Canis lupus familiaris: one gene and its partner. The protein of the gene in region 2 interacts with the protein of the main gene of each other region in a pairwise test. Links are inferred from orthologs where the notes say so. Each region holds a gene or a part of one and is shown on either strand. Other genes may lie near its edges.

Region 1 (3,813 bases), on a different chromosome or scaffold from region 2:
GGGGGTTGTCCTGAGAGAACCGGGAGAGAGGGAACCGGGAGAAAGGGAGGGACAGCCAGGGAGATGCTGTTCCCTGGGGCCACGGAGAGACGCGTCCAGGGAGAGAGCCCCAGAAATGGTCACAGGGACTCGAGTGAGGTCCAGCCTTGCTTCCCAGTTTTGTCCTTTCCCTACTGGGACTCCCACTCCCAGTAGGAGTGTGTCATGTGGTTTGTGCTGGCTGGGCAGGGCCTGCTGGCCACGTGGGACAGAGCGGAGGCACCGGAAAGGGTGCTGCTGACCCCGGCAAGGGCGGCGGAGGAGGCCGGACAGCCAGCCCCAGCCCCGGGAGGGCTGCTCGGAGAAAGTGCCCACACTGGAGCCCCCGCCGGCAGAAACCCGCGTCTTCCTCCAGCCCACTGGCCTAGGCACACCTGCTGCCCGCTCTGGCCGGGGACCCCCGGGGCATCACTGAGAAGCCCCGCGGCCCTGCAGACCTGTCCTGGCAAAACTGCTCCTCCTTTTCTGAGTCTCCAGGAAAAAGTGAAAAGCCTGGCTTCTCGGCTTCCCTGTTCCTCATCTGCCCTTCCGGACCCACGGGGAAGCACGACCTTTGCTTCAAGCAGGAGGCAGGGGATGCACCCACCTGGACCAGCCCATTAGGCACAGCCAAGCAACCACATCCGGTGGCGCTGGGCTGGGCAGGACCCCACTTCCCTTTCAGTGGGCTGGCTTCCTCCTCCCATCACTTCCCCCTCCTACACAAACCTCCCCCACACTGCACCCTGGGCTTCTTCCCCTCCTGGTTCGTCAACTCCAATTACAGGCGGTCAGGGGACGTCCCGAGGCCACATCACCACCTGCCTGGCCACGGCAGTTCTGGGACCCAGGCTGTGAGAGGCAGGGTCTCCCAGCGCTCAAGCCGCTGGCCATGAGGGCTTGAGCTCAGCCAACTCTTTCGGGGGGTGGGCACCTCACCCCCAGGGGGGTAGGGCTGGACTAGGGCAGTGGCTGTGTAGTGCTCAGCACAGGGCCCGGGCATGCAAATGGCCCACAGTGCAGCAGCTGCCCAGCCAACGGCCTGCCTTCCCACAGGGGTGGCCTGCGGCTGCAGAGGAAGGAAGCCAGGTCTTGAACAGATGCTGCAGGAAGGAGCACAGCCATGAAGGCTCGTGGGCCTGAGATTCCACCGGGCATCCACGTAGATGGCACAGCCTGTCTGCCCACCCCGCACCAAGGTAAGCCTGGAAATGACCCCCCACACACGCCTCTCAAAAGCAGTAGTAAGCTCCAGTATATTTTAGAAGGGAACCCAGAAGCCAGCCAGCAGGAATGGGGCTTCAGCTTGGGATCCGCCAAGCTTCGAATCTGCACGGTCCGCCCGAAGCTTGAGCTGAGCCTCTTCTCTCCAACACAGCAGGGCAACCTGCCTCCCCCGTGGCTAACGCTGCTGCTTGAGCTCAAGAACGACCGTGCAGAAGATACAAATAAACAGGTAGCAACAAAACCACAATTCTGGGCTCTGGAGCTCAGGAGAATGTTCAACCTGTGAGATGCCTCTCTTACCTGGCCACACGTGGGCAAGGTGTGCCCAGAAGGGCACAGGGGGTCCTCTCTCTCTTCCGGACTCTTCTGAGGGTCACTGTCGCTTTTAAAATATTTTCTGGGAGGAGGCTTGGGTTTGGAGGTCGTGGGTTTTCTCACCAAAATCTCAAAGGATTTCTTCAGTCTCAGCGGTGGGTGGCTGTCCGGCATCCCAGGGAGGGGTGGGCTCTCCTGGGGCGGCCTAGACAGAGCCACGGGAAGGGCCCCTGGCTCCTGCCCCAGGGACAGGCTGGGGCTGTGGGTGGGGACCTCTGGGTCCGAAGTCAGCTGTTCACAGCCGCTAATGGGACTCCCCCCGGGGGACCCCGACATGTAGCTGCTATCACTGCTGGAGCGGATCATGACCTTCTGAGCTCTGCGATGTGGGGGTGCTGAGTTCTTTTCTCTCTCCTTCTCCAGGGTCGGCCGCCCATGCCAGCTACTCTCCAGCCTTTTGACACCTGCAATGGAAAGACAAGGGACTCCCACAGCTGAGCCTGAAGGGCAAACATACTGTCTGCCATGCCCCCAACTGGACTGCTCCGGGCTGCACGCCGCACCCCCAGGCTGTCTCCTTCTCATCTGAGGTCACTTTGGATTCAGAGCCCGGGATTCATGGGCTTGTCCCCTGCAAGCTGTAGACTTCAAGTTGGGAAAATGGCTCAAATTGCTGAGTCTCCATGTGATCGATATGGAGACGCATCTCCAACTTGCCCATTGAGGAAGGGGTTGCTCTCGCCGCTGTGGGGTGTGCTGGTGGCAGGTGTCTGCCATTGTCAGCTTCTGCAGGGACTGCCTACAGGGAGCCACCTCACCCAAGGGGCAGCTCGTTTCCAGGGACCGATGGGGGGACTGATGGAGATGGGCTCTAAAGGAGGAGCCATTACTGCCAATCAGACGATTCTTTTTTTTTTTTTTTTAAGATTTTATTTTTTATTCATGAGAGACATAGAGAGAAAGAGAGGCAGAAACACAGGCAGAGGGAGAAGCAGGCTCCCTGCAGGGAGCCCGACATGGGACTCGATCTCGGGTCTCCACGATCACACCCTGAGCTGAAGGCGGTGCCAAACCGCTGAGCCACCCAGGCTGCCCAAACCAGACGATTCTTTTTTTTTTTTTTTTTTAATTTTTTTTTTATTTATTTATGATAGTCACAGAGAGAGAGAGAGGGAGGCAGAGACACAGGCAGAGGGAGAAGCAGGCTCCATGCACCAGGAGCCTGATGTGGGATTCGATCCTGGGTCTCCAGGATCGCGCCCTGGGCCAAAGGCAGGCGCCAAACCGCTGCGCCACCCAGGGATCCCCAAACCAGACGATTCTAATGTGCCATTTAGCTGCCAAACTCCAGGGGCTGGCTGAAGCTGTGTATCAGGTCACCTCCCCCACTGCCCAGCCCTCTGCTCTCTTCCCCTTCACAGGCTCTGGTTGCTAGGACCCTTCCGAGGTAACATCCTACCAAACACTGTCTCACAGTTGACTCCCTGGGGAACCCAACCAGCAACACCCCACTTTCTCACCTATAAAATGGGAATAATATTCCAGGGCCACTGGGCTTGTTTCAGGGCTCAATATCAAAGACAGAAAACACCTGTGAATGTGTGTTAAGCCTTGTACCAAGAGGCTATCATTTCCTCCAGCTGAGGATGAACTGAGCCTCCTTCTTCCCTCTCATCCAGCCTTTCTTCCTGGGTTATTCCCCCAACACGCCTATTCTCAGGACCAGGGGACACCCACAGAACCCTGAGAGGCTGTTTTCTCTAGCAGGAAACTGTTCCAGGTATTTCGTTCCTAGAATCATTGCTCAAAGGAGTGGGAACAGACTGAGGCCCAGCCTCTTGCTCAAACTCCAGCTCATTCTGGAAGGCCAAGAGAGGAAGGAGAGCCCCAGAGAAGAGAATCCTAAACCTTAGGACAAAACCAAGGTCAGCCAAGCTCACAATTCAAATCCTCTTTAAAGGAAAAAAAATTTCTTATGCTTTATCTTGACCATAAAATAATGCATCCTCATTAGAAAAAATTCAGTCATAAGGGTGCCTGGGTGGCTCAGTCTGTTAAGTGCCTGTCTTCTGCTCAGATCACAATCCCAGGGTCCTGGAATTGAGCCCTGTGGGCTCCCTGCTCAGCAGGGAGCCTGCCTCTCCCTCTCCCTCTGCCCTTCCCCCCGCTTGTGTTTTCTCTCTCATAAATAAATAAATAAATAAATAAATAAATAAATAAATAAATAAATAAATAAATAAATAAAATCTTTTT
Region 2 (2,616 bases):
TGGTGGCCTGACATCTGGGTTCCAGCCCCTTTCCCCTGATGCAGACATTGATGAGTGTGAGTCAGGCGCGCACCAGTGCTCTGAGGCCCAAACTTGTGTCAACTTCCATGGAGGCTACCGCTGTGTGGATACCAACCGTTGCGTGGAACCCTACGTCCAGGTGTCTGACAAGTGAGTCCATGGGACACCAGACACCCGCCCCCACACCCCCCGCCCGCAGAAACTACAACTCTCAGAGGGCTCTGTGGCTGACTGGCTGCTGTGCAGGCTGTCTAGTGCTCCAGGGCCTATGGGAATTGTAGTCTTTCATGACTAAACCATGCAAACAGTTCTAGAAGGAGTGGGAGAATCCTTTGGGGATACCTAGTTTTAGGAATGGGACCAAACTTGGGGTATAGGCCAGGACCTCATTTGTGTCCCCATTTTGGGGTTTCTAGTCGCTGCCTCTGTCCGGCCTCCAACCCCCTGTGCCGGGAGCAGCCCTCGTCTATTGTGCACCGCTACATGAGCATCACCTCAGAGCGGAGTGTGCCCGCCGATGTGTTCCAGATCCAAGCAACCTCTGTCTACCCTGGCGCCTACAATGCCTTTCAGATCCGTGCAGGAAACTCGCAAGGGGATTTCTACATTAGGGTAAGGCTTTCCCCTAATTGCACCCCTCAAGTGACATGCATAATCCAAAACTGAATTCCAGAAAACCTTAAGTGGGAGATTTGGCTCTACCCCTTTTCTCAAAGCCCTGTCCCCCCAGGAGGTGGAATTTCTGCAGAAAGGTAGGGGTATTCTAAATTCCCTTGCTACAAACTAACAAACTACAGGTTGTTAAATGCAGTTCCAATGAGGCACTTGGACACTGGGGTTTGAGTCCTGGCACTGGTTTCCATATCTGGCCTCTGATTTGTTCACTCTTAGAACAAGGCACTGGCATGAGAAGCCTGCCCAGGTAACAGGACACAACAGGGTCTGGGGAACACAAGCAGATGGAGCTGGGCCTTGGAGAGAGAGGCAGCAGGGGTTGGTGCAGGGGTCTGGCATCCAAGAATCCAGCTCGCTGCTGGTGGAGCTATTAGGGAGAGATCCAGGCATGACTCACGAGGAGAGGGGGCCAAGGGTTTATCTGATATTAGTCCTTGTTTTCTCTTTCTGCAATTGGATGCTCTGAAGGGAAGTCAGCCAGCTCCAGGTCACCAAAGACCCCACCACTCCCAAAAGTTTCCCACCTGGCCTTGCATCATCAGTTGACCCTGATTAGACAAAAGAACTAGATGGAAAGTGTGGGAAGAGCACCAGTGGGAAATTTCTGAGGGCAGGAGCCTGGGTGCATCAGTGACAAGATGTCAAGGGTATCAGAGCTGGATGAGAGCCTGGGGTCACAGCCTGCTAGGACTCTCCATTTCACAGCCAACTGATTGTGGGCTCAAGATATGGGATGGGGAGGTGAGGCTGGGGCAGGGGTCTTGGCATGTAGGTTGACACAATCTACATGTCCCCCACCCACTATGCCCTGCAGCAAATCAACAATGTCAGCGCCATGCTGGTCCTCGCCCGGCCTGTGACGGGCCCCCGGGAGTACGTGCTGGATCTGGAGATGGTCACCATGAATTCCCTCATGAGCTACCGGGCCAGTTCTGTACTGAGACTCACCGTCTTCGTGGGGGCCTATACTTTCTGAGGTGGGGGTGGGGAGCCCTCAGGGAGGGAGAGGCTTCCTGTGGCCCAAGAGCCTGGGGCTCAGGGATGACTGTGCTCGGCTGCAAGGGCAGATGCTGTTGTGAAGAGTAGAAAGAGAAAGGCAATAAAGGGAGAAAGAAGGAGTCCTGGTGGCTGAGGTGGGTGGGTAACACTGTAGTGAACCCCTGGACTGGGGAAGTGGCCAGGCTGTGGGAGGCAGGCCAATCACCTAAAGGGGGGTATCTCCATTCGGGCTCAGGGTGCCCCATAGATAGAAGTTGGGAACTGTGTCCCCAAGACCAGGATTGATCCATGTACCATGCACATCAGAATCGGTCTGAGAATGGAGGAGATGATAAGGCTACAGACTCCAGGGACCCAGCCCAGGAACTGGAGTTTGGTTTATAACTCTACTGTAGACATTGGAGGCCTTGGGTTCTAATCCCAGTTTGGCCTCAAACTATCAATTTGACTAAACCCTAGTAGATTCTTTCTGGGCATCAGTTTTCCAATCTATAAAATGAGGCAATTAAGATTAGTGCTTTCCACATATTTCTTTTCCAAAACACAGAACTTATTATGGAAGGATATTTGATCCTATCAGGGAACTCTGATGATATAAACTAGATTCAAAGTTGTAACGCCTCACTGACTCCATCTCCTTGGTGGTCTCAGTGCTCTCCCAGGGAACCCCAGGGTCCTTAGAGCTCAGTTTAAAAACCACTGGATCTGTTGGTCTCCCCAATTTCTGCCTGGATACTTCACAAAGTCCCTGGCATCACCTCCATAATACATCAAGCTGCAAATACTTATATTTTTATTGTAGCCCAGTGGCTTAAAAGGCTGGCTAGCCCATGAAGGTGGGGGGTGGTGGTGTAGTCGGCCTCACGGGATGCCTCAGGTCAGAGGGCTGTAGCAGCAGTAGAGCTGGGAAAAGATTCTGCT

What was found.
Region 1: the proteins of EFEMP2 (region 2) and IL16 interact in binary tests that used the Homo sapiens proteins (3 or more experiments, as listed by UniProt). The two-hybrid records come from large-scale screens. The link is inferred for Canis lupus familiaris from reciprocal best matches to the Homo sapiens genes EFEMP2 and IL16.

What each region holds. Positions count from the first base shown.
Region 1 is NC_049224.1:56,966,950-56,970,762, forward strand, and holds part of IL16 (pro-interleukin-16), read right to left. Parts: intron 2,025-3,813; coding exon 1,546-2,024; intron 1-1,545. UniProt on the Homo sapiens protein: Interleukin-16 stimulates a migratory response in CD4+ lymphocytes, monocytes, and eosinophils. Primes CD4+ T-cells for IL-2 and IL-15 responsiveness. Also induces T-lymphocyte expression of interleukin 2 receptor. Ligand for CD4.
Region 2 is NC_049239.1:51,896,112-51,898,727, forward strand, and holds the end of EFEMP2 (EGF-containing fibulin-like extracellular matrix protein 2), read left to right. Parts: intron 1-44; coding exon 45-171; intron 172-437; coding exon 438-633; intron 634-1,510; coding exon 1,511-1,672; 3' UTR 1,673-1,814; downstream 1,815-2,616. Other genes in the region: crossover junction endonuclease MUS81, read right to left, coding at 2,569-2,616. UniProt on the Homo sapiens protein: Plays a crucial role in elastic fiber formation in tissue, and in the formation of ultrastructural connections between elastic laminae and smooth muscle cells in the aorta, therefore participates in terminal differentiation and maturation of smooth muscle cell (SMC) and in the mechanical properties and wall integrity maintenance of the aorta.